Linked DNA regions of Tamandua tetradactyla. The protein of the gene in region 3 interacts with the protein of the main gene of each other region in a biochemical or structural test. Links are inferred from orthologs where the notes say so. Each region holds a gene or a part of one and is shown on either strand. Other genes may lie near its edges. The genes, in order: RXRA, POU2AF1 and POU2F1.

The links.
Region 1: the proteins of POU2F1 (region 3) and RXRA form a complex in vitro, tested with the Homo sapiens proteins (2 studies listed by BioGRID). The link is inferred for Tamandua tetradactyla from reciprocal best matches to the Homo sapiens genes POU2F1 and RXRA.
Region 2: the proteins of POU2F1 (region 3) and POU2AF1 are reported together in a solved structure, tested with the Homo sapiens proteins (2 studies listed by BioGRID, with this or other methods). The link is inferred for Tamandua tetradactyla from reciprocal best matches to the Homo sapiens genes POU2F1 and POU2AF1.

What each region holds. Positions count from the first base shown.
Region 1 is NC_135328.1:13,492,364-13,503,002, reverse strand, and holds the start of RXRA (retinoic acid receptor RXR-alpha), read right to left. Parts: upstream 4,086-10,639; 5' UTR 1,394-4,085; coding exon 1,258-1,393; exon of another isoform or gene 1,253-1,257; intron 1-1,252. UniProt on the Homo sapiens protein: Receptor for retinoic acid that acts as a transcription factor.
Region 2 is NC_135334.1:30,070,210-30,080,506, forward strand, and holds the start of POU2AF1 (POU domain class 2-associating factor 1), read left to right. Parts: upstream 1-6,173; 5' UTR 6,174-6,307; coding exon 6,308-6,323; intron 6,324-10,297. UniProt on the Homo sapiens protein: Transcriptional coactivator that specifically associates with either POU2F1/OCT1 or POU2F2/OCT2. It boosts the POU2F1/OCT1 mediated promoter activity and to a lesser extent, that of POU2F2/OCT2. It recognizes the POU domains of POU2F1/OCT1 and POU2F2/OCT2.
Region 3 is NC_135330.1:20,606,205-20,616,234, forward strand, and holds the start of POU2F1 (POU domain, class 2, transcription factor 1), read left to right. Parts: upstream 1-5,156; 5' UTR 5,157-5,575; coding exon 5,576-5,636; intron 5,637-10,030. UniProt on the Homo sapiens protein: Transcription factor that binds to the octamer motif (5'-ATTTGCAT-3') and activates the promoters of the genes for some small nuclear RNAs (snRNA) and of genes such as those for histone H2B and immunoglobulins.

The DNA.
Region 1 (10,639 bases), on a different chromosome or scaffold from region 3:
ACCCTTAGGAAGCAGCTGAGCGAGCACCGGTTTGTAACAGGGCCCAAGTAGTCACCCAGGCACTGACATGCTGTGTAGCCTTGAGCAGGTGTAACGGCCTCTCTGAGCCTTTATTTCCTCTTCTGCAGAAGAAGGAAGTGGCTGTGAGGCAGAAGACTGATTCAAATGCCTCACAGCTGCGGCCTTGCCGTGCAACCCGGGTACCCACTTCCCTGCCCTAAGCTCATTGCCCCCGGCAGCTCAAGAAGCTCCGGACCATATTCTTAGTGTCCACGGAAACAGCTACACTTCCTTGGAACTCAACATACTGAGATGAGGGAGGGGCCACGAAGGAAGGAGGAAGAGACCCCCCCAGATGCTCCTCTTGGAACTGGGGGCCCCAGAGCCCTGGTGCTTGGCCGGCCCACCCTGAGTGAGCGGCCCTCAATCACTGCAAAGGGCCAGCCGGCTCTTTGGACAAGTGGACAAGTGGCCATGGCACCAGCCCTCCTCGGCCACCGGGCAGGCGGGTGCCAGTTCCGGCTGCCCAGCTCGGGGCTGGGCGGGGCCGGAGCGGCTGACTCAGCCTCGTGGGCTCGCGGCATCCTCACTCTGAAAGGAGACAGTGCTCACAGCTCCCAGAGGCTGTGAGGATCGACCGAGACCACAGATGGCCACACTGCACACACGGCCGGCACAGAGACGCTGGGTAAGAGGACGCCTGCTCCCCCCACGCCCCCTGGACCGGGAACAGGCAGTCTGCAGGTTGGGCCCTGCCCAGGGCACACCCAGTCGCGGGTCGGCAGCGGTCTCTTCTAAGAACGCAAGGGGCCCACCCCCCAGTAGGGCAGGAGGAGGAGGCGCTCTCCAGGGGCACCATGGAGGAGGGCTTCCTGGAGGAGGCACCATATACCTCCCTCCGGGTATAACACCATGGGCTCCAGTGTCTGGCAAGACATGGGAAGAGGCCTGCAGACACCTTCAACACGCGGGCAGTTGTCCAGCTGTGGCCCAGGGCCCCAGCCCATTGCCACCTCCTGACTGAGAAGCATGAAGACCAAGGGATGCCACCTCTTTTGGGAGAGGGGCTCACAGATGCCCCTGTGCAGGCGGCACAGGCCACGGTTCTTGGCACAGCACATGCTCAATCAAGTAGAGCTACCCTGGTCAGCACCATCCTTACCACGACTGCCATCCTAGCCCAGGCTAAACTTGCCACAGACCACAGGCTAGAACCCACGTCTCCTCCCACCCTGCCCCCGGCAGTCTGTACCTTACCAGAGCGCCACATCCACCTCCCCAGGCCAGGTCTCCCGGCGACCACCTCTCTGTGCTGCCCCCAGCTCTGCGGCGCCTTGCTGTGCGGCCCAGGCCAAGCCCCTTGCCCTCTCTGGGCACCTACTTCCTCCTCCATAAGAGACGGCCCGGGGCCCCTCCCCTGCTGACAGGCGACAGGCAGACGCCACAGCTGGGTGAGGTCTGACCACAAGGGTTCGTAGAATCCCAGGCCCCGCCTGGCAGGGCATCGGGCTGGGGTCGGGTCGGCTCCTGCGCCCCTCCCCAGCCTCCCGCACTGCCCCTTTGCCGACAGAGCAGGATTTCAGAACTGTCAACCATCTCCATGCCCAGCCCACAAAGGCCCCTAAGGGATCAGAGAGGCTGGGAGACAGGCTTAGGTCACAGAGCACAGAACAGCAGACAGAATCCACCCTGAGTGCATAACGCTCCACTGTGTCCTCTCTTCCCATGTCCGAGACAGAATTCAGAGAGTAGGACTGCACTGTCCAGCAGTAGACCCTGCCTGTCAGCCGTGTGTCCCCAGGCTGGTCACTCAGTCTCTCTGCACCTCCATCTCCTCCCCTGAACAGCAGACCCAAGAACACCCACCCAGGTTAGGGGAGGGCCCCAGTGTATCCCCTAGAGCCACTATCTGGAACAAGGGACCACAACTGTACTTCACCCCCACAGCAGCCACTCTCCCTGCCCACTCACAGGCCAGGCCCACTGCAGCCAAAGGGACAGAGATGCTCACTGGGGCTGCCCGAGGCTCCCCAGGTCCCACCTCAAGAAGGGTGGCCAGCCCAGCAAAGGGCCTATAGGTCCAGTTCAGGGCAGCCAAGGTCAGACCCCAGGCTGGCCCTCAGACAGGGCAGGGTGCTGGGCACAGGGCCACTGCCCTTCCCATGTCAGCCAGACACCCCACCCACCTCTTCCCCTCTTCTCTTCCTCGTGGGAGGAGAAAAAGAGGACAGAAACACCTGCGTTCAAATCCCGCCCCTCCACTCCAAGGCAAGCAACTGAGCCTCAGTCTCCCCCACTGTCAAATGGGGACGTTATAAGATGACATGGACCCGGAGTGATGTCACCTTGCCAAACGTCATGCCCTCCGCCTGTGTGCTCAGCAGCCGTGAGGGAGGGGTGACCTCCTCTCACTCACCCGATGAGGAAACGGAGTCCCAGGGAGGGAAGTGGGTGCCTGGACCCCACGAGGGCCGCCTGACACCCGGTCCTGTGACCGGAAGACAGGATGTTGGGAAACCTGCGAGCTCTTATTTCAACACCATGGGCTGCGTCAGGGACCGGTTTTGACATGCAGCAGCTCCTGGGAAAGGGCCACTGCCACCTCCCCTGCCAGCTGCCATGGGAAGGGTGAGGCTGGCCCTGGTATGGCACCTCCCAGCTCCCTGCTGCCCACGGCTCGGGGATGGACCCCCGTCCTTGAGGATGGGCACAGGCGAGGGCAGGTTCCTCACAGGTACAAAGGCAGCACCCAGAGTCCATCTGCAATACCAGGGCTGGGCCTACCAGCCAAGGGAGCCTGGGAGCCAGGGTGAGCAGCAGCCATGAACCAGGCGTGAGAGTCCTGCATGGGAAGTTCTGCAAGGAGCCCACGCCTCCATGTCAGCACGTGGGACAGGAACGAGGCGGCAAGGCCTGGGTCACCTCGCTGTCCCCAGCCACCTGGTCAGGCAGGAAGGCGCAGTCTTGACCACAGCACAGAGGCAGCCAGCAGGCCCAGGGGCTGCTCCAGGGCTCTGGAACTCTGTCTCCATTTGTCTGTCTGTCTTTACTTCTGCCTGACTGTCTCACACACATGTGTGCAGGCATGAAAATGTTCACACACCCATGTGTACCTGTCGAATGCAGGACGACACCACCGGCTTCTTAGTGAAAGCAGGACAGCCAGCTCCTCGGAGCCCTCTGCCACCTGAGCCCCACAGGTCCCCAAAGTGGGGACAGCAAGAAGGATATTCTCACTGCAGCCTGGCTGCCCTTCTTCCATTAGACCAGTACCTTTCCCTGGGCACCTGGCTAAGTTCTCCCACAGCTCAGCCAGGCACCAGCAGAGCCCTGATGGCACAGGGTGGACTCTGCCAGCAGGGAAAGCTACTCCAAGGGGATGGGGCTCAGAGACCCCCAAGCTGTTTACCGAGTGCCCTTTCGTGGGAATGAGCACCACGGGCCCTTTAGAGTGACAATGAAGTGATGATGGGGCTGCAGGTCCCTCACCAGCTTGGGGGAGATGGAGGGAAAAACAGCCTAAAGGTACGTGCTGCAGCCCCAGGACCGCTAGGCTTCAGTTGGGGACGCCTGTCCCCTGCTCCCGCGCCTACTGCAGCCAGGTTCCCAGCGGCCACAGGAGCCCAAGGCCTATCTGCAGCCTGGTGTCCCGGCCGAGCAGGTGGCACCAGAGAGGAAGGCACAGCTTCACCATGAGCCCAGCAGTGTTTGTCTGATGGCCGGTCACGTGGGGTAGGCAGGGACGTCCCAGGGCTGGAATGTCCAGAAGGCCACACTAACAAGTGTCATCAGCCGAATGAGGCCGTTCCTGCAGGGTCAGCACAAAGGCCTGGGAACCAGCTCTGGCTGCCCAGAATGGGCTGGATGGGGCCAGGAGCTGAGGCAGGTAAGGGAGGGGAGCCAGAGAGTGGATGTGGGTCCCCCATTCGTGTCTCCCACTGGAGGGACATGTGGGCACCAGGAATATGCGTGGGCCGGCTGTAGCTAGAAGGTGGCAGGCTTCAAAGGCCCCTCAAGGACAAGCCCCTAGAAGCCCCATGGGGGAGGGGTGTGCCCCTCCCCCTCCGCCACCAGGGTCTGCCCCTTCCCCAGACCTCTCACCCTTCCCCCAGCACGTTCAACCCTACCAGCTCCCCCCAGCCTACCCGCCCCTCCCCAGCCTCAAGCCCCACCCTGCTGGCCACAGGCCTGGCCTCCACAAACTCACTGGGGATGGAGCCGAGGGCAGGAGTGGCTGCGGGGGGTGTGCTGGGGAGGAGGCGGCTTCCGCTCCCCCAGGAGCCCGCCACTGCCGGCCCTCTGCCGCTGACACGGTGTTAACGCTTTCCAGATGGGGCCGCGAGGACAGAAGCAGCTCTGCGCCCTGCTGAGGAAGCTGGAAGGGGCTGAGATAGCCTGGAATTCCTGAGCCCATGCCAAGGCCCAGTGGACCTGGACCCAAGAGGGGGGGCCACGGCAGAGAGGAAAATGAGCCCTTCCCCCTGGAGGCCATGAGCACACCCCCCGGGGAGGCCACCCACCCAGCCAGTGGCTGTGCAGAGACGCCTCCCAGGCCCAGCCTCTCCTCCATGGCGCCAGCACAGCTGCAAGCACACCACCCCAAGGCCCTGCCACCCAGGGGGCTCCCAAGGGGGTCCTGGGAGCATCTCCCACAGCTGGGCCTGGCATGAGCCATGCCTAACAATGTCAACAGTATCCCCCAAAAGGGGTGGGGTGCAGATGGGCCATGGACACCCCCATGGTCCACGAAGGTTCTGGCAAAGCAGAATCTCCTAGAGCTCACTTCCCCAGGCAGCCCTCTCCAGCCAGGACGCCCTAGGTCAGGTTCAACCCAGGATAGAGGGGGGAAGGGGCATGAGAGTGGAGAGGGGGATGTCGGGTATTTCTTCCAGCTGATACGTCTCCTCGCCCCTGCAGGGAGTGTCTAATGACACCCCTTGACCTGCCTGGCCCAGCCCAGCCCCTCACAGCGTCCCCTGGTGAGGGCTCTACGGCCTGCAAGGGACAGCAAATTGGTCTCAAATGGGCCCTTCTCATGATGGCTGAGGGTGGCCCGGTGGCCCCAGTCCACACACCCGACCTGATCACTGGCTCCCATGCACAGTGCACTGGGGGGCCACCGAGGGGAAGGGGGTCTCGGCCGGCCCAGCCACGGCCCATGGGCCAGCCAAGGCCGCAAGAACACTCGGCCTTCCCCCAGGATGTGTCCTGCAAGCAGGTGGGTCTGCCAACTCCACCAGCCAAGGCAGGGGTCTGCTCTGTCCCTACACCCCACACCCAGACCCCAAATGTCTCCCTGGCCTGGGCTCCGACAGAGGGTACAGAGGGGACCTGGAGAGCATTCGGCCCAGGCGCAGCAGACTATGGGGGTGGGACCGCATCAGGTGCTCTCTGGAGGCCCCTGGTCAGTCCACCTTCTCAGTCCCCAGCGCTGCCCACGTTCGCCACCGAAGATTCCATTCTCTACCTTGGGAGATGCCCCCAGACGCGGGAGGCCTGCCCCTTCCTGGCTGGGGCAGTGTCCTCAAATGTATCAGGGAAGGTGGGTGGAAGAAGAGGCAGAGATTCAGGGTCCTGATGGAGGATGCTCAAAGGCTGGGACCCCAAGCCAGGGCCGGGGAGGCCCACCCAGCCTTGGACATCTCACCCCACACTCCTTCCTCCCACAACCCAACGTTGAGGCCCAGGTGTTCCCTGGCAGCTGCATGCCAGCATGGGGCAGGGTTGGACAAAGCTAGCCCCTCAAATTGTCTTCCCTAAACTCCCACTGTGCCATGGCTGCCACCCTCTGCCTGGCACAACCCAGCCTGAGCTGACCTACCTCTGTCCACAGCTACAGCACTTTCCACTTCAGGTGCCAGGACCAGGCAGCAGACCTGAGAGTCCAGAGGGGCTCCAGGCATTGGGGGAGGGGGTCCCACCAAAACCCTGACCTGACCTGTCCGAGCCATGCCCAGGAATGGTTGCCAGGCCACCTGCACAGCTGGGTGCCCAGGAAAGGGCTATTTCCGTTACCACCTTTTGAGGTGCTGACCCTATACCCCTCCTCAGGCCTGTCGGCTGGTCCATCCCAGCATGTGGGCACAGAGGTAGTGCTCCCTGAAGAGGCAGTGCTCCCTGAAGAGGCAGTGCTCCCTGAAGTGGCAGCAGCCCTGCGTCCACCTGACCACCACCCAAAAGCCCCAACTGTGAACACACACCTTGCCTTCCCATCGCTTCTGGACCATCTCCTTTAACGCCTGAACTTCACAGTCAGAGCAATTTTGACCTCAACAGTTCAAGTGAGATGCCTTAATTCACCTTCAGATTTAGGGAACAGAAAGAAACTGAGTGTTGGTGATCTGTGGCTCCAACAAAACCCCCTGCTCCCTTGAGGTAGGAGCCATTCTCCTCGAGGGTTGTTTTTCTTTTTCTAGCTGTAAAGTGCTCAGAGAAGCCTCTTATGTTTTCCAAATGGCTAAAACGGCGAGAGACACAAAACGTCGGGCGCCCCTGCCCTCAGACAGCACACAGGTGCCAACCCAACGTCCTCAGCGCTCACAGAAAAGCCTGCCTAGCACCCCTGCGGTGGGCTGCAAGTGCTACCCTGCTGCCTGTGGCATGAGGGCACCCCTGGACGCAGGTGGCTCAGGAAACCCCCTGAGTCCCTGACCACAGAGAAGGGCTCCCAGACCCTGGGTTGCGGGGGGGGGAAATGGGGCTCACCCCAGGGTGCTGACAGCCACTGGATGGGTCTGGGACCAGACGGGGATCCCCACTCTACATCAGCCCCCCTCCCCCATGGCCCTGCCACCCTCAGGCTTGGGTGCCCTCCCTCCAGCCACAGGCACAGCATTGGGCCCAGGACCACCCCCTCCCAGCCCAGGTGGAGGCTCCCAAGGACTCAGCCCTGCCCGGGGCAGCCCACATGCCCAGGGACCCCAAGACATGGACATTCCGGCCAACAGTCCTCTCTTAGCAGTCCCTATCCCCGATTTATCCTCCACCTAGGGAAGGGCCCATGGCCCACTCAATCCCACCCAGGGAGGAGGCGAATCACTGCAGTGCTGGCACTCACCTCTAGGGCACTGGACATAGAGCCAGTGCCACCAGCGTGGACCCACCCCGACCCATGATGCCACACCTTCAGAAAGGTAAACTGAGGCCCTGGGTGCAAACAGGGCTCACCCAGGACCTCAGAGCTGGGCACGATAAGCTGGGGTCCAACTGCAGGACATCTGCCAACACCACTGGGCGGAGGAGCCCGCAAGGCTCTGGCCACGGGGAAAGCCAGGCCCGTGACACATGGGGGTGGCTGCAGGGAAGGGACAGCTGCTCCCTCTCCAACCACAAGCAACATCTGCAGCCCACAGGGGCTCAGGCGGCCGGCCCTCCAAAGTGACGCACATGGGCCCAGCTCTGAGACCCCGGCCCGGCACAGGGCAGAGTTATCGCTGGGGCTCAGTTGGCCTCCTCTACGGTAAAACGGGCACCTCTCGGCAAGCAGAGACCATCCAATACACAGAAAACCCCAGCCCGCAGCCAGCATGAGCACTTGCTAATTATCCTGTACACCGTGCTTGCCTGGATCTGAACCCCCTCCCCAGTTGAGGGAGTCCCTCCCCAGCCCACCCAGATCACATCCCAAACCCCCTTCCAGAGCCAAGCCTTCTTTTCCAACAGGCCCCAGGGGGAACCCAGCAGGAGGGCCCAGGGGCCAGGCAGTGTGCTCCTGGAGACTTCAGGACAGGTAGGGTCAGACCACGCTGGGCGGGGTTCAGGGGGCAGGTAGCCTGGCATTGGGGAAGGGATACCTGCTGCCACCTCACCCATGCCTGGCTCCAGACCCCTTGCTCTCCTGGCTCCCAGCCCCAGATGATTCCTGGGCTTTGGGGATTTAGAGTAGAACCTGGGAGAGGGGCTCTTTCTCAGACAAGTTCCAGAGAATGCAATCCAGCCCTCCCACTTGGGGTCAGCCACCTCCCTGGGATGCAGGGCTGCCCACCCCTGCTCCTAGCCCCCTCAACCCCTGACACACAGTGCCTGCTCATGCAGTAATTAATTAGCTCAAGATTGCCAGGGAACAGCACTGAGCTCCGGCACCTGGGAGCCCAGGGCAGCCCCCTCCGAGACACCCAGCCGTCTTGGCCAGGCCTCCCATAGTGGGTCCATCAGACAGACAGTCAGGAGAAGGAGCCCCTGCTCAAATGCAGGTGCTGCTCTGGGCCTCAGTTTCCCCAGCTGTACTGTGAGATGAGTGGCTTTTGAATTCTACTCCAAAGTGCCCCTGGTTGCAGGCAGGGGATCCCCAACCCTCACCCCCAGCAGGACCACCTTGGCTCCCTCTCTTTACACATCACAGTCAAAGCTGCTTCCAGGTGTTCTGCCAGCCTCAGCTGTCCACACTGCAGCACTGGTCCCCAACTTCTCAGCTGCAGGTCTGGGTCTCTGGGGCCTTGCCTCAGACTTCTCCTGCGCCCATTCCACCTGGCACCTGCCCAGGAGGTTCTCAGTAACCGCTCCCTGAACTGAGGGGGGCCTCTACCAAAGAGTGTGCCAAGAAGTGGGAACGGGGAGGGGAGTTCAAGGTTCGATGGAAGACCCCCCCGGGGTATGAGTCTCTCAGTTGTTTCCAACTTGTCCTTTCCGAGTTGCCCATCTCTTCCTTTCCACTGGACTCTGGGGGAATTCTGGGACCCCAACATCTTTCCCCCTTCACAGAGAATGTTGTCTGCCTGCAGTCCCCACCCATCCACATGCACGGCCCACCTCCTACCTGCAAACATGCCTAAGACAGCTGCTCAGCCCCACTAGGCCCCAGCCCTGGCCCAGGCCTGCCCAGAGGATCTGCCTATCAGCCCTGCCCCATCCAGCTGACAACCGGGGAGGGGGAGACTGGGAGAGGGAAAGCAGTGGGTAGGGAGCAGCACTGGTCAACTATGGCAGCATCCAGACCAAAGGCTGGCGGGTTCCTTGAAACCAGCCCAATCAACACCTGCTCACAACACATCCATGCTCCCCATCAACCACAAGGTCACATGCAGACACCATACAGAACCTGCTGCCCAGGCCATCACAGACCAGACCAGTTTCAGTTCACGACTCCCATGCCCCATGCTGAACCCCAGAACTTCTCCAGAGGCATCCCATTCTCTCTCACCTCTGGGCCTTTGCACATGCTTTTCCTCCTTCTGTTCCCTTATCTAGAACCCACAGGCTGCTGCCTCTTCCAGGAAGCCTACCCTCCAGCTCCACTCTAGCCCTTTGGCCCTGGACTGCAGCTGCCCATTTCTTAACTTCTCACCCCCACTACAACCTGTGCCCTCAATGCCTCCTGCCTGAAAGGGGCTGGTGACAGTCTGCCTAGCCTTGGGCACAGCTCAGGATCATGCCCACCCCCTGGACAGGATGCCCAGCAGGGCCAGGCGGAATTCAGCGGCTCTACTCTGACCTGGGAGAGGTGCTGAGACTCCAGGATGGCCCAGAGGAGCCAGCCAGCGGGTAGGTGCGCAGGCAGTAAGGACCTGTTTGAGAAAGCCCACCTGGGGCCACACCTCACTGCAGCCCAGGGCCTCCTGCATCCAAGTCAGTCTGTGCACCCACACCCCATGGTGCCCAGCTCTTGGAAGGTCCTCTAACTCCTCTAGTTCCTCCCTGCTGTCACTTCTCCCTAGTCAGAGCAGCTACAAGCTGCTCCTTAGTCTCATCCACAGGGGAGTGGCAGGCAGTATGGGGGCCCTCCCTGCCATGAACCCTGCCCGGGTTTCTCCTCCTGGGAAGAGGGAAAGCCTGCTCCACCCAGTAGGAACCAAACCTGTTCGACTGCCCCAGACAGCTGGGCCCAGGCACATATCTGCCCATCAGCGTTTCACCAAAAGCCCAGGACCCAGGATTACAACAGGGCCCTGGAGATGCAGATAAGAAGGCCCCAGGGTGTGGGCTGGGCTGGCTTTGGGGGTGGATTTTTGTTTTGCTGGGTTGTTTTGCTTCCATCCTGGCTGTTCCTTCCATCAAGATACGCTGTCAAGCTGCCCACCTGCCCCGCTCGGGGGCCTGGAGGTTTCTTGGGGGTTGCTGGGGTTGGGAGGGCAGGGAAAAGGGAGCTGGGACCCCCTGAGTAGAGCTCCTTTACCCACCACTATAGAAGTGTGTGACATCCCCCCGACCCTGCCAAGCTTACCACCTCTCCTTCCAGGGGAGCCCATGAGAATGGCCACCCCCCCCCCACACACACACCAGTGGCCCAAGGGCACTACTCAGTCACTGAACAGTCCAATACGTGTACAGCCCGGGCCCGTGCACAGTGGGTGCTCAGAAAACCGGGTCATCACTGGCCTGTGGGGAGACACACCCTTGGGCAAGGCAGGAATGTTCTGTAAACTGGGCCGAGACACCCTCGTCCAGGGCTATGCAACTCTAGACATAACACAGACACCTCTCAGGGCCCCAGTGGACACACAATAGAGGCACTTCCAGATGTCATGGTTTCAGTGGGCACACAGTAGGGGCACTACTGGCCATGAGGGTCCCAACAGGCACACAGTAGGGCACTCCCAGACATCAGAGTCCCAGCAGGCAAATAGGGGCAATCCCAGCTGACAGAGTCCAGCAGCACACAGTAGGGGCACTCCCAGCCATCTGGGACCTGGCAGGTACACCA
Region 2 (10,297 bases), on a different chromosome or scaffold from region 3:
TTTATTAACGTGCTGAATTACATTGCTGTATTTTCAAAGATAAACTATCCTTGCATACCTGGGGAAAATTCTACTTTACTGTGTTGTATATTTTCTTCACACACTATGCATCCAGCAAATGAGTATTTTATTTAGGAGTTTTAAATTTATGTTCACAAATTAAATGATCCTATAGTTTTCTTTTCTTGTATTGACCTTGTCTAGTTTTGGGATCAATATTACACAAGCCTTTTATTTGCAAAACCTCGCAATTTTTTGTTTTAACTGGATCTAAGAGGCAACATGTCGTATTTTTTAAATTTTTCGTAAAATGTATTGTGGCAAAATATATACAATGTAACATTTTCTCATTTAATCAATTTAAGTGTACAAGTCAGTGGCATTAATATCATCAACAATGCTGTACAACCAATACCGCTACCTTTTTCCTAGTTTTTCATCACCCTTAAACAGAAGCTCTACTAATTAAGCAATAACTCCCCATTCCCCTTCCCCTAGCCTTTGTATAGGTGTATTAGAGAAATTATAAGTTTACAGAAAAAATCATACACAAAGTGCAGAGTTCCCATATACCACCCTATTATTAACATCTTGCATTGGTGGGGTACACTTGTGGTAATTGATAAAATGACATTTTTGTAATTATATCTGTGTCTTTTAATTGGCGAACTTGACCTTTACTATAGCTACTACACTGGTAGAATTTATCTTTTCATCTTATTTCTATTTTTCATGGACTGGATTTTTAAAAATTCCCCTTCCTGTTCTCCATTGGAAAGATCCAGTTCTCTTCTGCTGGTTTTAAAATTAAACATTTTGCTTTTATTCTTTTGGTAGTTTCCCCTAACAACAGATCCATGCTAATGGATTTGCTTTTATTATTTCCCCTATTGATTTCCTAAATTTATCAATAGCTATATTTTCCTTTTATAAAAAACAATTAGTGAATTTTACTTCATCTTGCTCTTCCCTAAGGTCACACATTACCCACCTCCACAAATTAATTAGAATATAATGTAAACAGTGTTCCAGGACTTGTGCAATCATGTTGATATTTAATTATGGGTTGTTCTGTCTATATTTTTTCTTTTCTCCCAGTTTTAAGAAAACTCCTGTAATTATTTTACCCAGCTACTTGATCACCTTTTGTTCCATATTTCTTGCAGCACCTCCTGGTTTACTGTTCTTATTTGAAAGCTTCCTCCAAAAGCAATTTTAACATGAGACTTGTATGTCTGAGGATGTTTTTGTTATGCTATGATATTGAATGATAGCTTGGTTGGATTTGCAATTTTAGGGTCAACAGTCTTTTTCTTCATTACTTTAAAAAATTTCTTCATTATCTTCTTGCATCCAATATTTCTGTTGATAAGTGTGATGTCAATGGGATTCTTGTCCCTTAGTTGTTAATATATTCTTCCTCTCGGTAAACTTTTAGAATTTCCTCTGTCTTAGTTGTTTTTGAATTTCACTATAATGTGTCCACATGTCAGTGTTTCCTTGTCTCTCTTGTTTGTCCATGAACCCTTTCCAATGTAAGATCTTTCATCATTTTTTTTTTTTTGGTAATTCTTGGAATTTGTTTTCATTCTATCTTCAAGACAAGGACAAAACAAGGATAATCACTATCACCATTGCTGTTAAGCACAGCAGTGGCCAGAACTAAAAGGAAAGTAAAGAAATTAGAGATGTAGGATTGGAAGGGAAAAGATAAAGCAATCATTATCGTCAGAAGAGATGATCATTTACCTAGAAAGACCATCATAATCAACAAACTATGGGAATAAATATGAGAGTTTAGCAAGCATGCTAGAAATAAGGTCAACTCAAAAATATTAATTTTTTTCCCTGTGGAATCAATAACTGGCTAGAAAATATAATAGAAAGTAAGAGACGTTCACAATGCCAACAGAGACTATAAAGTAATTAGGAATTAATTTATCCAAGAAAGCAATAGATTCCCATGGAGAAAAAATTGAAAGTCTAATCATAATGAACATGGAATGTGATCTGATTAGATGGAGAGCTATCCCATGCTTAGCTGAACCATATTAATATTATGAATATTGATTCTTGCTAACTCTATAAACTCATTGAAATCCCAAAGTTCCAGTTGGATTTTTTAAAAGAACTTGATAAAGTTATTCTAAAATTTTAAGATGTACTACAGTAAATAATAGTGAAAATTAATGAGACCAATAAAATAAAGCAGAGTTTGGGGATAGGCACATGTATATATAGATGCAGCCCTACAAATCAATGGGGGAAAAGAAGGTTTGTTGAAGGGATGATATGGGGAAAATTAGCCCACTATATGGAGAAAAATAATACTGGATACTTAGAACTTCACCAAAGGGAATCTCCAGTGGAAGTGGGAAAGGTAAAATTCCAAAATTAATAGAAGAAAACGTAGGAGACTGTTCTTATTATCTTGAGATGGAGGAAAAAAACTTAAACAAAATCCCCAAACACAAACTTTAAAATTAAATATTTGTATTCAAGAAAGGATACCATGAATAAAGTTAACAGATGACAGATTAGGAGAAGATATTTATAATGAGTAAAACTGACAATATCTAGAATTATACATCTAGAATATACAAAGAGCTCCTGCTAATCAACAAGGAAAAGGCAGCAACCCCAAAAGAGAAATTGGCAAATGATATGAACAGGCATTTTACAGAAAAGGAGACCCAAAAGTTTAACAAGGATATGAAGAGATGCTCAAATTTATCAGTATTAGTAATATAAATGAAAACAACAATGAACTATCTTTTACATCTATTTTATTGGTAAAAATTAGAAAGCTGGACAATGCCTAGTGGTAAAATGGTAACTTGTGAAATCTCATGAACTGCTGATGGGGTCCTGGAGAGCATTCTGGTTGTGATAAGCAAATTAAATATGTGCATCTTCTTTGACCCGGTAATTTCCCAAGGAAAATTTCACATACCTCTGTAAGGGGATGCATATTGGAATGTTCCTTGCTGCTTTGTGGAGAGAGGATGTTTGGAAGCAATCTGATTAAGTAAAATGCAGTGCTTGTACACCATGGAACACTTTGCAGCCTATAGAAATAACAGATTGTGTGAGTATAGCCATGTGAATGAATTTGAAGCATAGTTTTAAATTAAAAAATAAGAACCAGTACAAGCTCTATATTCAAGTTACATGAATTAAACACCATTTACATGAGTTAAAAATACATGCATGTAAAACAATATACATTTCAAGATGTGTACAAATGTCTAAAAACAAAGAGATCTATATCAACCAGATGAAAGCAATATCTTTGATGGTGAGTATCTGATGGGGGTGAGGCAGGACAGGAAAAAGAATAGACATGGAAAATGGCAAGGACAGTGAATGAATCAAGGAATGAGTGAGTGAATGAATGAATGAATAAATAAATCAATAAAAGAGGAGCATTTCATGGGCCAATAAGGATAAAGGGCCATGGACTGAGGAGAATGAAGAAAGTTAAAATGAAAAGAAAATAGAAGGCCTAGCAGAGGCAATAGTGCATAATGAACACTCAAATATTTATTGAATGAAAGAAGAAATGAAGTCTGCAGTGCATCCTTGTGAAAAGGTGAGTCTTTTTGCAATATAGATCAGTGCTCTTTAATGACTAATTTTAGGAGTTGTGATTTTGGTATATCATGTTTTTCTAAAGTGGGGGCATACCTGTATTTGGAGACATCTGGATGGGGTTACTGGAATATTTTTCTCTTCCTGTACGTCTTGAGGTATGGCTTAAAAATGTCCACCATGTCTCTTTTGAACCATGCTATATAGTTTGTGTTTTGACTTCGAGTCACTAAAAATGTCAGTCCCGCAAAGATTTGCCATTTTGATCAAGTCTTGGTTTCAAAATCCCTGCTATCCAGGGTCTCTGCTGGAAGCACTGAGTCGAAATATCCTTCCTGAGTTCAGAGGCTGTCAGAGGTACCAGGTTTAACGTTGGCCATGATGGTGGACTTGCCTTCTGAACCTTGATTTTCTCTGCCTCTGCAAGAGATCTGATTTCTGGGAGCACTTCTGGGTTTCTTCTATCGATGCCTTCTTTCCAGTGGGCAGGGATTCCTCCCAGGAGATATTAGTTTGTATTTATTTGCTCCAGGTTCTAATATCAACGATCCTATGTATCTGCTAATTTATAAGGCTGACATTTGGCCTTCATTGATTTCGATTTAATGAATATCTACTAGTGTAACTATTTAGAGATTAGTCTCTAGTCAGACGAACTTGGGTCTAAAACCAGGCTTTCAGCTAATGGCCCTGCAACCCTGGGCAAATTAAATGTTGTAAGCATGTGTTTGCTTCTCTGGAAAAAACAGATGATGATAGAAATTTCCTCACAGAGCTGATGGGGTGACTAAATTCGATAAAGTATGTAAATGTAACACTGGTCTTGGTGCATAGAGAGCATTTTAAAAGCTAGTTATTATTATTATTACATGTAAATGATTATGCTCAGCCTGTGGGGAGAAATAAATTTGAATAAGAAAACGGTCTTAATTTCATCAAACTCGAAGAGAATAAGAGAGATAACCACAGGACAAGACAACGTGAGAGAGGTGCTAGCAAGATCACACACCTGCCTAAGAACCCGCTGAGACATTCGGAGAACTGCTTCTTTGTTTGATAAACAAGGAAACCGAGACTCGGGGTTACATGGCTGGCTTAAGGGGCCTGGCCCGCATGTGGCACAGCCTCGGTGGGACCCCAGGCCTCCTGGGACTGAGCTGGGCCTAGTGGATTGGCCACCAGTCCCAGTGGAAACTCCTGAGTGTGGCCCACGGCCTTGCGACACTGCCACTCGTAAGTCCCTGGTGCTGCCAGCTGCCCCGGACCCTTCACATGTTGAGGATGAAGGCTTTGGGGTGAGGCCTCATAACTCAGGCAGGGGCAGTCCTCTCAGTCTTCTGACTGGGTCATTTAGGTGGACAACATCTCCCCACAGGATCTGCCCTGAAACCAATAACCCCTTAGAGACAGTAGTTCGTGACGTTGTTGCATGAACTTGTACTGAGGACCAATTACGGTTCAGGTCCTGGATGAGGCACTGGAGAAGCCAAGATGAAACCTGCTTGAGGAACCTACAGCCAAGCAACAACCCACAGCGAGCGAATGAACAAAGCGCCCCGAGAACTGACACAAGACGGGCTCTGGGCCAGGAGGGTTGGTGGGTCAGAAAGTGTTGCACCAAAAAGGTACCAGTGATCGCTTGATGCAGTGCGGTGGACAGAGAATCCCTGGGGGGCCCGGTAGTCTTGTCCCCAAACTTACTGGGAACTAGGACCTGAGTTTGTGAACTCCAGATAAGACACTGGCAGAAGTTTCCAAACTGGGAAGGAGCCCTGTGGCCTTATACCCCACATGCTCTAAATTTCTCACATTTCCTTTGAGAAAGTCTGAAGACTGGTGGGCCCTAGGAGAGAGGCCCTGCCCCCATGGCGCCTGGAAGTCCCACCTGAGTGACCAGCTCCTGTAAGAGAGCATGGGCTTCTGTCTCCTCCTCTCTTCCTTGACTGAGTCAGCCTCTTTCTCTGTATGCATATCGGTCACCAGAACCAGTGTCCCCTATGTTTAAGCACGATCAAGCCTTGCCATTTTGGTAGTGGCTGGGGGCGGCAGTGGTGGTAGTTACTGTGTTTCAAAATGTGATAAACAGAAAAGCAATATTAAAAGAATGAGGAGGTTGTTCAGCGAAGCTTGAAGAGATGACAGGTGTTTCCTCCTGTGTTGAGAACCAGTGACCCTTGGGATCGCATTTCCCGTTGAGCGGGTGCCCATGGCCAGCCGAGCCCTTGCTGGCACCCTAGTGGTGTGTTTGCCTGTGCAGGCACCATGGAAAGCTCAGGGATTTTCAGAGATCTTTGGGCTCATCATTGGTGCTAGGGGGTACAAGACTTGACACACACACCTGCAGTGCACGCTCCTACCCAATGTCACACTCATGCACATGTCACATCAGACCCTGGCCACGTCTGGCTGTCCACTGCCTCCAGTGCCGAGTTGTTGCTCAGTCCACGCATGGCATGGTCTGCAGCCAGCGGGCCCCCGAGGGGGCGCGCAGTGGGGCAACAGGCCGCGCTGCTGAAGAAAAAGTGCACCCGTGCCTGCGGTGGGAGGATGTGATGACGCTGTGCCCCCGCGCAGCGGGAACTCAGGCTTTTAAAAAGCCGAGGAAACATCCTCTGAGCAAGCAGTGGCTACACTGGAGGAAAGCACACCCAGGTCTCACATTAAAGAAGCCAAGCTGTCTGCTTCAAAGAGAAGAGGCAACATCCTGTCACAGAGCATGCTCTGGCAAAAATGTAAGTGGTTTGGCCACGGTCGCTCAGAGCCAAGTAAGCTCGGATGAGGGTCTGGGTTCACCTGCTGGCCTGGGAGCGAAGAGATGGTGGTGGTGATTGGGGGGGGGGGGGGGGGGGCGACGTGGGTTGTGAGTTCCAAGCCAGGAAGCAGGGAGGGAGGAGGCGGGTAAGATGGAGCCCGGTGGAGAAACCAACCTGTCAGGGTGATGCTAATTTTCCAGGCTGGAGGGGAACGAACTAGTGTTCCAAGGTGGGACAGCTCATCGTCCCTCCGCTTCTGTGCATGATTCACTGTGGTGAAGAAAAGGCAGTTTATGATTCACAGAACAAAAGCAAAATGTGATATTGGTTTGGGGCTGGGGGCGGCGGAGAGGCACGAAGTTATTTACACTTTATTTTTATAAGCAGGTACTCTTTAGCCTGTTTTTTTTAAAATTCTGTGGGCCTCTTTCTAGCTGAGTTGCTTAGCCTTCTGCCAAAGGCATTATTTACCCCTAGGGATAAGTGGGGGGCAGTGGGGAAGCCTGTCTTCACTCACCTCACTCTCTTGCCTCTTGTCAGTCTTGTTCCCGTTCGGTGCAAGGGGGCAGTGGTTTTATCGTTGACCTTAATTTTTTATGGATTTGTGTGGCCCAGTTGTGAACTTTAATTTTCACCATGGGGGATGGAACAGAGATCTAGTGAGCCCCGTGCTATTAATAATTGAAATCACACCAAGAGTGCCTACAACATTCCTTCTGGGAGGTGACAGAGCCATCTCACCATCACTCACCTTCACCAGCCTTGGTGGCGGACTTCCTCAAGGAAGAAGCAAACCAAACAATTATCCTCTCTTTCTTTTAAAATTTCTTTTAATCACTTTAGGTATTTCTTAACTCAAGTGAACGTAATAAGAGAATCTAGATTTACAAAAAGAAAGATGTTAGGGAGCATTTACTTATCTTGCAAAAAGATATTCCATTAGATTCCTTTAAGTCCCCAAAGAATAACCTCATTGATTAATGTGACTTAGAATCATGCGATCACCAACTCATTGTTTCTTTTATTTCTTGCGTAAATTCTCTAGACTTGTGCTTATTAATCACAGAGGTGTGATTTCAAAATTTCTCAGACTGTAAAGCCTCCTTATTGTTTGATATTGCCAAGATGCCTTTTTTTTTTTTTAATAAAAAGAAAATAATTTGGATTTGAGAGTTGTGGAATCCTTCCAGATAGTTTGGGATATTCTGCTCTGGGTGGCATGTACTGTTACCAGAAGGAAGGATGATGGGACTAGAACCTACCCTGCTGAGGCAATGCCAGCCAGCCCCGAGGGAGTGCTGTGTGGAGCAGGGCATGTGGGAATTACTGTCTTTGGATTCCTGGGAGCTGCTGAGAATCCAATACCCTTACTCTCAAAGCTGAGTTGTTTGGTTTTGCATGAGTCCCTGGAGCAAATTCTATTTCAGCTCCTTTCTTACTCTGAACAAGTTACTTTCCTTTTTTTTCTTTCTTTTTTTTTTTTTTTTTTTTTTTAACTCTTTAGGTTTCTCATATGTAAAATGGGGGTAGAAATAGTAGCCATTCCACAGTTGCCCTTGGCAAGCTAAGCTGTTGCTGAAGTGGTATTGATTGCTCTAGTTCTGCTTTAGTATCTGAGATACGGGTAGCTTCCTTGAGTTCGTGAGATGCCGTGTTCTCCCCTTGAGGACATGCAGTACTTGTTTTCTTCCTCAATTCCTCCTCAGACATTAGCAGCGCTTTTCAAATGGAGGTTGGAGGGTGTGTTTCCTGATCTCACCCTGGAGGTCAGGCAGGCCAGGTAACATTCCATCCATCAGGGAGACTCAATCCCAAACTCACCAATGGCATAACTGGAAGGAACATACCCACATTTTCAGATGAATGAAAAAAATCAATATTTTCTTTGATTGTTCTTTGGAGACTAAAAGAAAATCAGGGAAGGCCCTTGGGCACTGGCCCCTTTGCCTTCAACCTGACCCAAGCATATGGCATCAAGGTTACCTGGATGACTAAACACTGTGGGAAAACCAGTAAGAGCAGGGCAGCCTCGGCAGCCCACTTAGAATCACCCGATGGAAGGGCAGGGTTTGAAATCAGACACCAGGAGTGCTGAAAAGGCACTTTCTTTTTTCAGAAAACACCCTCGAGGCATGAGCTGAAATGACTGTACCTTGGGGTTCTGGAAAGGGTTAAGAAAACATTCACTCTGTAAATCTGTTGTCTCCTCCCCACCTTGCCCATGACCTCTGTTTGTAGAGTAGATGTGAACATGGGCTTTGGTTAAGATCAGAGATTAGCATGACAGCTCAGAACTGCTGGCACCCAGAAGGGGAAATCTTAGGCCCCAACTATGGATTCAAGATTTGCCTGATCGGCCGATTGGACAAAGAAGTGGCTCTAGCTGCAGGTCCTCTCCCACCTCGGTTCTGCATTGTCCTGCAGGCTGCAGGTAGCTGTGAAGAACTAACCTCCCTGCCAACAAGAAGCCCCCTTTAAAGCCCACAGGTGACAGTGCAGTAGAGACAGAATAAGAGTCAGAGTGAGACAGGTCTGGATTTGACAGCTGGCACTGCCAGTTTATCATTAACCTTCCCACATTCTTAAAAATCTGAGAAATGGGCCTTTAGTGCCTGTCTTCCAAGGCTTTTATCAGAACTGAAGTAGAGAATGTGAGTGTGACCACGTTTCTTGGTAAGTAGTGATAATGGTGAACGAGCACCTTCCCATTGTAACCTCCTGTGGGCACATCTTAAATGAGCAGGCTTATTATGATCTGCTCCCTTTGCCACATTTTCATTGGAATAGGGATAAAGGCACAACAAAAATATACTGGACAATAGGATGATGCAAACAGCTTTCTCAAGGGCCTGAAGTGAGTCTGCAAACTCTGGCCTGCTGCCTGTTTTTGTAAATACAGTGGAATACAGTCAGAGCTCTCCTTTACATAGAGTCTACAGCTGCTTTGCTACAATGGCAGAATTGAGTAGGTAAAACAGAGACCATGCGGCCTGCAAAGATTAAGATATTTACTTTCTGGTTCTCTATGGAAAAAGTTTGCCGACCTCTGGTCTAAAGTGATTTGGGTAATACTTTAGGCGTTCGTTTCCTGAGGTTACTCAATCTCCTGGGGTGGCATAATGCCAACTCCAGTGGTGGGCAAAGCTTGCGATCGATTGATTAAATGATTTGCGCAATGCTGAAAATTGATTTAATTGACTTCATCCTTAACAGTGATGAAACTGGGTGTGATAAACTTGATGCCACTTGTTAGAAAATAAACAAATTGAAAACTTGCCATTTATCATTGGTGTTTGCTTTAGGGAAAGTTTTAATGGAAAATGCAAGGAAGGTTTGACTGATTTTCTTTGGACTGGCTGATTGTCATGGTGTCTCGAAGACTTGGCCTTGGTGTGTCCTTGCTATAGCACCCATCTAGCATCTTAGGTTCAGGAATGAGGTATTTTCAAATTATTGTGACATAACTGTGCCTTTGCTTTCAGATAACTTGAGCAAAACAGAGGTTCACCAAACAAATAAATTTGGGTCTCGAAAGTCTCATTAGCATTAACATAGAACTATGCTCTGAGGATTTACTTTAGGATTCCACTAAATAGTCAACTTTTTTCGGATAGTTATAGTTGCATTTAGGTAAGGAGAAATGTGACATACATATAATTTTTGGAATCCTGTATTCTGCATAAAGTTAGGCATACTTACAACAAGAAATAGTTTAGGTCTGTGGAAAGCCTTAGCCTATAGCCTAAGATGAATCTTTACTTCTTATAAGTTTATCCACTGATGTAGTGGTTCCTGCAGATAAGCATAAATAGGCTCCAAAAGGGAGACAGAAATTGAAAGGCACAGAAGGAGGTGAAATAAATCGCACTTATCTCCCAAGAACACAAGGATTTAATTGGCAATGACCAAATGGTTCTCAAGGAGGATTCTTTAGCTCCTTTTCCCTAAACTAA
Region 3 (10,030 bases):
TTTCTTAGACTTTACACCCAAAGCATAAGCAATAAAAGAAAAAATATATAAATGGGACCTCATCAAATTTAAAATTTTTGAACTTCAATGGACTTCATCAAGAAAGCAAAGTGACACCCTAAAGAATGGGAGAAAATATTTGGAAACACATATCTGACCAAAGTTCAATTTCGAGAATCTGTAAAGAAATCCTATAACACAACATTAAAAAAAGATAAAGAAGCCAATCAAAAAATGGTCAAAAGATTTGAACAGACATTTCTCCAAAAGAAGAGATAGAAATGGCCAAAAAGCATGTGAAAAAATGCTCAAAATCTTAGTTATTAGGATAATGCAAATCAAAACGCAGTGTGATACCACTTCTCATCCATTGGAGTGGCTAATGTTAAAGAGATATCACGTATTGGAGAGGATGTAGAGAAAGAGGAACACTCATTTCTTGTTGTGGGATATGTTAAGTGATAAGAAACCACTTTTGGTGTTTCTTTAGAAAGTTAAGTACAGAATTACTGAATGACCCCATAATCCCAATTCTAGGTATATACTCAAAAGATTTGAAAGCAGGGACTCAAACAGATATTTTCATACCAATGTTCCTAGTGGCATTTTTCACGATTGCCAAAAAATGGAAGCAAACCTAGTTTATAGCAACTGATGAATGGATAAGTAAAATGTGGTCCATACATGCAATGGAATATTATGTGGCCATGAAAGTGAATGAGGTTTGATACATGTGACAACATGGATTAATTTTGAAGATACCATGTTGAATAAAGTAAGCCAGACACAAAAGTACAAATATTATATGATCTCATGTATATGAAATGATTATTATAAGCAAATTCATAGATTAAGAAACTAGAATATAAGTTACCAGGGCCTGGATAAGGCCAGGGAATGAGGAGTTAAAGCTTAGTTCGTAGAGAACTTCTGTTTGGGGATGATGGAAAAGTTGTGATAATGGATAGTGCTGGTCGTGGCACATATTGTGAATGTAATTAACACCACTGAATTAAATATCTGAATGTGATTAAAAGGAGAATTTTTACATTATACATGTTACTAAAATAAACATAAAAAAAGAAAAAAACAGACTACGGATTAAACAAGTAGAACACGGGCTTGGAAAGTATAGTAGCAATTAGTGGAGTGTCATGTATTTGCTGACCCTGAAGTAGAGTGGGAAATGGGCTATGTACCCATCAGATAGTTCTTAAGTGTTATTGATAGGTGTTTTTGATAAGTATTGAATTGTAAATAAATTTCAGTATACACTTTCTGAGAATTACAAATATTCTACACTGTGTATTTTAAGTGTAGATACATAAGTTGCAGCAGTCAGCAAAAGTGAATTTGACATCCCTTAATTAACGTTAAGACATAGCAACAGGATGCATTCATTCCTTTAATAGGGTCCTCTCCATTTGCCTAAGGAGAAGGAGGACCATGGGAATATCTGACACAGGATCAAAATCTTTCTTGGAAAAGCTTCTGGGTACACTGTAAGACATGGACAAAAAAGGGGATCATAGTCTCACTATTTCATATCCAATGCTTATGATCATTTTATCTTGAAAACTTCTTAAAGATTACTGTTGCCAAGCTTGCTTTTCTTCAAGGAAGTATCTATAGTCTATCTACTTTAAGCAGTGAAAATCTTGAACTCCAATATAGGTCAAGCAGAGCCATTCTGGCTGAAGAGCAGGTGGAGGGGCTTGGTTTTCACTCTACCTTAAGATAGGCCCTGTTTAAAAAAAAAAAAAAATTGAACCTAAGGGCTTCATGGAACGTGATTTGAAGGCCTCTGCTGTAAGATAAATTAGTTTTTAAATCACTAAACAAATTGACTTGCTATATCGGAAAGTCAACTTTCATGAACATGTGAAATAGTGGAAGAGGTTTATTAAAAATGAGGATTTTAAATTTAGTTACCCAGGGCAATTAAAATACATTTCCCAGAGTCTGGATTCCTTAGTCTTTAATGCAACTATGTGGCAGCACCAATAGTTAGCTTTAGTGCAAGGAAGGCTGTGCCATGCTCAGTCTCAGTACCAGGCTTCTTTTTAGCCAGAGAAGATCTGATCTGCTCGTCCCTCCTAACATGTTCTGGTCTCTCAAGCGTGATGTCTGTTAAGAACAACATCACTTCATGGCCCAAGAATGCTTCAGGAATTTCAGTCCTCATATCTCTGTCCAAGCAGCAGGAAGGAAAATGGAAGAAGAACTGAACATACTCCATTTGAGAGCGCTACCAGAAATCCCACCCAAGAACTCCTTAGAACTGAGCCAAAATTTAGTCACATGACCATATCTAACAGTAAGGGATACTCGCATGTTGCACTTTAGAAGACACACTGAAGTATTACCACTGCTACTAATGGAAGGGATGGATTTTGAGTAGGTAACCAGCAGTTGCTGCCACTATGAGAAACACACCGTGCTATTTCATTTCTTCAAACCTGTCCATGTGCTATTCTTCATCCCCAGAATACTCTTCTCCACAAGGTCAAATTAACTATACCCAGAAGCCACTTACTGGAAGACTTCACTTCCTTCCCTCCAGTCCATCCAGGCAGAAATAACGAACACGCCTCTCTCTAGTACTTCTGTTCAGAGCATGTTTGTATATTTAATTTTATTTTGTAATGTATCATACGGTAAAATTAACTTTGTTTATGGATTTTAACACGTTTTAATCCATACATCCTCCATAATCAGGGTTCAGAACAATTCCATCACCCTCAAAACGTCCTACCTTCCTACTCCATATGGTCAGACCTTCTCCCACCACTACCCCGTCAACAACTGACATTTTCCATCACTACCGTTTTATCTTTTCAAGAATGTTATACAAACGGAATTATACAATATGCAAGCTCTTGTGACTGGCTTCTTTCTCTCAGCATAATGCCTTTGTGATTCATTGAAGTTATTGCTTGTATTGACAGCTCATTCGTTTGTATTGCTGAGTAATATTCCATGGTATGAATGTACCACCTCTGTTTATCCATTTATCTTTACCTTTAAGGCCTGTGTTTGAGTTCAGCTCTACTGTTTGTTTAATACTGGTGTGCCACTGAACAAGTTATTAACATCTCTATGCCTCAGTTTTTGCATGTTGGAAAATTTTGATAAAAAGATTATCTACTTCTCTGGGTATTGCGAGTATTGATAAAGGAATTGATATACGTAAAGTGCATATTATATAATAATTTTATTTAACTAGCCTGTGACTTTGCTGAGGTTAAAGAAGTATTTTCCTCATTTCCCGATCCTTAGCACCTAGTGAGGTTCGGAACAGAATGCAGATGTTCATCAATATTACTTGAATTAGTGACTTCATCAACTTTTAAAATAATCCCAACACTTATAATTGCATATCCATTATATTTAAATTCAATAAATATTTATGAGCACCTACTATGTACCAGGCATTGTACAAGGCAAACACAGATATTTTCATTAAGAGGAAAATGAAACATTGATACAGACTATTTTAAACTATTTTTCTCACAGAGCTATCCTTCCTTAAATAAAAATTCATTCCACGAAATTTTTCTGTTATGGAAATGAACTAGTAAAGAATGAATAGCATATTCACTAGTTTCAATGACTTTCTGAAAGCCATATTAATTTACTTTTCTACCCAAAGAGCAAAACAAAGATTAAATAGAGGAGAGGAATTTAAATAAAGGCATTTGAGTTCTTTTTCTTAGTGATGATTTCAAATTCATTGCCCACAGAGCAGGGACAAGTACTCAACTTTGTTTCAAACAAGGTTGGTGATTCTGAGACTAACCCTATAATAATGCTAGTGAATATAATTTAGGCCGTATTCCCAGATTAATTGTAACATGATTAAATTTTGCATTTCCTTAACTGCCTGTTAGTTGGCGTGCTTGAAATAATTAGATTAAGGGTGGTCCAATTATTTGGTTCAAATAGTCCAGCACACCCTAAGGCTTAATTACCATGAATAAATCAATCCCACCCCAATTCATTGGCTGTCGCTGACAATAACTTGAACTGTATTTGCACAGTGTGAGGAATTCATTGAGCAGGCTAGGACTCATAATTAAAATTTTAGCCGTTAAAGTAACTGCTGGCTCTCATTCAGAGATTAGTTTTCCTTCATTGTAGAACCTGCAATTCTACCCGATTTAAACTTTAGTCACCTCTCTCTCCTCAAGACATACTAAATAGGGATGAATTATCTTTTACTTGGCTTTCTTCGACGTATATATATATATAGTTGTTATTTAAAACAAAAATAAAACGCAGCTAGAAAATCCGAGGGCTTTAAGAATTCGAAAAATAATTCGACTCGGGTCTTGGTCCAAGGGCACTTTTAACACTAAAGATAAATCTTAGCAACAATTTGACTCATAAAAAAGATATTTACAACAGAAAACCTTTCTCCACCGTCATATTTACTCTGAAAAAAACACAGCAAAGCAAAATCCATGATTAAGCTACTGCTGATTTCGTTGTTTTTACTAAGTCATCAGTTTTCAGCTTACTGCTAGGTTTAAAAGATGTTTCTAAAATCGAAAGGAAAGGGAGAAAAACTCTGCGCAGACTAGGAGGTCTGCTATTTGTTTCGATCCCGTACGCGGCGTTTGCGGGGCTTGAAAGCCAAAGGGAAGGGCGGAAATTGGCGACTTAATAAGAGGCCCGCTACAGAGCAAGGCTGCCCGGTGTTAGAAACAAATAGAGCAGAAGAGATTTGAGGCTAATTAAAAAAGACCACAGGACTCTAACCTTCGAGTTACTCGAGACCGGGTCTCCAGCGTTCGCAGAGTTAGGGGCGGGGATTATTTCGGATTCAAATTTAAAGCGGGCCGCCGGCGCGAGGCTCAACAGGTGCTTCCAGCCCGGCTCAGCGGCCCCAGCCCCCACGGGCGTTTCCGCCCTACCTGTCCACAGGGCCGGAAATTACCGAGCCCGAAAGCAGCCCTTTCATTGCTGTCAGTGTTTCAACAGCACGGAAAGCCTTAAAAATTGCACCGGGAAAAGGGACACAGGCGCTGGTCCGTCCACGAACCCTCCATGCATTTCCCTACTCTCGGCCGCTGTGCCCCCTCTGCCCGTCTTTCGCATGCCATTGGCAACTGTTGGAAGTCGGAGCAAAGCCGACAGACGGACAGGGCGGGAGGAGAGAGAAGTATAAGGTAACCCTTCGACCTCCACAGCTCACAGTCGGGTTACCCTTAAGCGAGGCACGGAGACGTAGCGCATGCGCTGACCGCATTTCAGGCGCGTGGAGAAAGTTGCGCATGCGCGAGGTCGAGACAGAAGATGAAGCAGCGGGGCTACGGGCAAATTGAAGGCGCTTCAACTACCGGAGAGACACCGCGGCCCGGAGGCGCGTGCGCAGAACGCAAAGGGCAGGGGTCCTTCCAAGGGGGCGGGCGGTGAGGAGGGCCGGCCTCGCGCGCCCCCTGGCGTGCACCCAGGAGAGCAAGGAGCGGGAGGGGGCGGAGAAGAGGGAGGAGGCGAAGAGGGCGGGAGGGGGGAGGGGAGCTGGAGCGAGGGAGGGCTTATCGACCGGGCGATTTTGGTTAAAATATTCAAAATGGCGGACGGAGGAGCAGCGAGTCAAGATGAGAGTTCAGCCGCGGCGGCAGCAGCAGCAGGTAATCATTACAGCATTTTACATATTCATATTCATACTCAACCCAGGCTCCCGCTGCCCCCCCCCGCGACTTAGCATAATTTATTAGTACTCAGGATTATTATAATTAACGGCGAGGAGATGGGGGGCCGGGGAGCACGGAGCCCCCGCCGGGCGCCGAGCGGAGGGGGAAAGAGGCTCGGAGAGGCCAGGCGGAGGAGAGGGGGAAGACAAGGGGCAAAGGGGGCTGCGATCTACCGCCCTCCTCCTGCCCCCGGCCCACCCTGCCGCAGGCTCGCCCGCCCGCGGGCACCGGCCCTCCTCCTCCGCCGCCGCCGCTGCCGCCGCCGCCGCCTTCTCGCCGCGGTCCCCGAACCCGAACGGGGCCGCGGGGCCGGGGCAGAGGGAGGACAATAAAGACACTTTACATATTCATAGCTGCTGGGCCGGCGGGGCGCGGCGGGGCGCGGGCGGGCGGGCGACCGGGCCACCGGGGCCGGGCGGGCGCGGGGTGGGGGGGCGTGGAGAGGGATGGAGGTGGCGGCGAGCACAATGCCGAGCAGGCGGCGGGGCCGGAGCGGACCCCGGCAGCCGAACAGCAGCACGCGTGCCCCCCACCCCCGGCGGGGGGTGGTTCTCGGCCCTCAGCGTGGGGGGACGGCCTGGAGGGCGGCCGTGGGTGCGCCCGGGGAGAACGCTTCGCCCGCACTTTGCCTCTGTGTCCGGGTCGGAGCGAGGCTGAGCCCGGGGGTCACGGCCCCGGGCACTTCGGCCGCGCCCCACTCGCCCCCCATGTGGCGGCCTGACTCGAGCCAGGCCTGCGCTGTAGGTGGGGGGGAGGGGTCGTGGGCGCTGCGAGGTCGCCTTGGGTCGGCGGGGGTGGGGAGTCCGCGTAGGGGTCCGCTTCGTCCCCACGGATTTGGACTGGGTTGGAATGGGACGCTCCGGGAAAGTTCCCTTGGAGTGGGGATGTTCTCCAGGGCCGCTCTGTGTGCCCGGGACCATGGGTCAGCAGCAGCCGTCGGTCCGAAAAAAGCCCTTTGCCTCCTGTCCGCCGTGGTTTCGCGGGGGACTTGGGTTGGAGGTGACTGGCGTTGACTGATCCAGATCTTTTCCCCTGCCCCTCAGCATGGGGGTGGGGAGACGGGGACCCTGGGGGGCTTCTTGTCCCGCGGCCCAGAAACGTCCAGAGGCCACCTGAGAACTCGCTTATAAAGGGTTGCCCTCCTGCTCCTGCCCCAGGCTGGCCTGACCAGTCGATAATCTTGACTTCCCCTGTCCTGGTGAGTCGGTGGGTAGGGACGGGGGTCCTCCTCCCTGCTTCTGTGCTGGTGTTTTCTTGCTGGATGCTGGGTCCTCTCTACTCTCTGCTTAGCCGAACCTCTCTCATTTGAATAATGTCTAATTCGGGGAGGTTTATATTATTGAAATGGCCGCCTGGCTTTCCCCGCCTCTCATGTTTAGTAATTCAGACCTTTAATAACAGCCACTCACAGCCCAACGCCGTGTTTATATTTTACATTCGCCCCATGTGCTTTTGTGGTTCGATATGATTCTTTTTTTTTTTTTTTTTCTTCCTTGGCAGTCCACGGGGCTCTGAGATCAAACCCAGGCTGTGCTGCGAAAAGAAGGGGAAGTCTAGGCCTGGCCTCCTCTAGCGGTTGCCTAGGCCTCACGTTTTCTGCCGCTTGATTTATTTACTAATAACTAAAATGACTCTCCCCCACCAACTGCCACACACATACCCCACCTCCGCGGGCAAAACAAACCCTCTTGGGGCCTTACCAGCATTAAAACAGCTCCTAGCTAAGCATCAACTCTGCTGGTTTGTTTTCTCTTAAAAAAGACTTTCTTACGGTTTGCAGTAATATTAGGCCTAAAGAAAAAAAACTCTTATTTCTCATTTTCAGGAGCTTATGAAATCTATTTTGGTTTAGTACAAATAAGTCACTTTGTTTGGGAGATAGTCCCACCCTCCTGACCCCTAAGTTAAACACTTTCAGGCTTTGCAAAGGTCTGCAGTATTTGTAAAACCAATACTGTCTTTTCTAGGATTCATGGAATAGCTAACTATTATAGAAGTTCCACTTAAACAGCACTTTACTAATTTCTCAGTGCTGTGTTCCCTTTCCAGCCTCTTCACTCTTCATTCCCATTTGAGATGGGGGCTGATACTAATTTCCTACTATGATTGTCATTGACTTGCTTATTTTAATTGTATCACTACTGAAAACAAAAATGGGATTCTGTTTTCTTTGAGTTTTGTATCATGGTTAAATTTGTGAAAATAGAATAATAAACACAGGCGTTGGGCCTACCTTTATCTTGGAATGTATTTCCCTCCCAGCATACTGGCGCCTTTTCTTTAAGTTGTCAGAATTGATTTTATGTTTTAGCTAGATTTAGGATGGTTGGTCTGTGAAAGACAGATTAACTTCTACTGTTTAGAGAAAGTAATAATCTTGATTTTTGGCCTTTACCTTGGTTAAGGTTTCATTTTTGTCTTGCATAGTTTTAAGTGTGTTTTTCTGAAAAATAGTATTGCTTCTCATTGGTAATTGTTTACCTCTGCTGGTGAAGGGAAGTACCGGACCATTGTTTGACACTAATAATGTTAAGTCTTTGAAATTCTGTTAAGGTACTTTATGGTCCTTTGAGAGCTACATATTTTGTGGGACTTCAGCTTATTTATTTTGTGGGGTCTTCAGCTTAATTTTTAACAAAATTATAGATTTGATCCACTAAAAATAAGCCAATTTCAAATAGCAGTTCTCACCATTTTTCGTCTTTCATCCCCAGTAGGAAGACCCAGAATACAGCAGGAAAAAAAAATCTGTGGCTTCCATGAGAATGTTCAGGTGAATGACTGCTTCAGAGACCTGAAGCATGAGGTCAGATGGACCAAAAGAAGTAATATGATTTCATGCCTTAAATAGCATGTGTGTTTGCACCAGATTCCCAAGATGTGGTCAAGCTGATGATGTCATTGGACAGAGGACAAGGTGCAGTTAATTTGATTTATGGTCCTGAGGTGAAGTGTAGCAGTGAAACCTTCTCACAGGGAAACCATTTATCTCAGGACAATTTCCTTTATAGCTTCAATTTAACCACTATGGAGGCTGTAGATATTTTATCCAAGATGATAAAATGTACAGTGCACTTTACAAACAAAATTTCACTGTTATAATTTTTGTGATACAGAAAAGAGTGGGGATTGTTAACAGGCCTTTTATTTTGGCTGGCTTTCTGTGTCATTGTAGAAGTGCATTTTCCCATATTCACAGATGGAGACTTGGGTTATAAATAAGTATAACGGTAGAAGTAATCCTTACGCATGCTTATTTTAGATGGGTTCTTTGTGAACCCCAAACTCCTATAGGAAACTGAATTTCTTAACTTAATCTGAACATGGCCCTAGCTAAAGAAGAAATTGTTTGCCTTAGAACCTGTTTCAATGAATAAAGTAGATTCAAAGAGGAGGAGGGCTGTATATTCTTTTAGGTGGAATTTATGATGTTTAAAATAAGATCGATTTTGTATATAGGAAGGTACGAGCTTTGAAAACTTTTTTTTTTTTAATAATTCAAAATTTTTCTTCATTTATCTCAAATTAGTCTGGACAAGTTAGTGTGTTTTGTTTTTGATTGACTAGTGATTTCCACTTTGTCCCATTGTCAGGTAATGATTCTACTTAGAATGTTTAACATATTGGTAGATTATCTTTTTAGGGATTTTTCATCATAGTATTAGCTAGTCTATCTTAAAGTGATGATTAAAATATCCTGGGAATATGATAGAATTGTGGTGCTTTATTCCTGATCCTAACTTCTGCGCCAAGCTTGGTAAAGTGTTTTTTAGTCCTCATAAGCTTACAACCTGCTTGTCTTCCTTTTGTACAGTATATCCCAGAAATATCCAGAAAATCCATTGTCACTCCCTTCTTAATTTGCCTCAACTATGACTGGTACTTTTGAATTAAAGTATTGAAAATTCATGTGACAGCTGACCAAATGTTTTTAATTTCTAAAGGACAGTGCTGCTTCCAAGCCATTACTGTGAAAGTAATTTTTAATGTCTTCCCACAAAGTAATTTCTAATTCCTGTCATTTTGTCATTGTCAAGAATCCCTATAGTCAAGGAAAAAGCAAATAATATTTGTTTTTCAGGTTTAAAGAGTGTATTCTGTCATATTTTAAATTTACTATTCTTTATATCTATAGCTAGTATAAAGCAGTAGGAAATAAAATGTTTCATTGCTGCTTAGGTTGAGGTAATTTACGCATTTGGCCAATGTATTTTGGAGTATGTTCAGGGCTCAGGATGTTAAATTGCTCTTATCAAGCCACTAAAGCTGTTTAATAGAACCTAAAATATCTTAGGCTGTATAATACAGTGGCTTTAATGATAAAGCTGGAA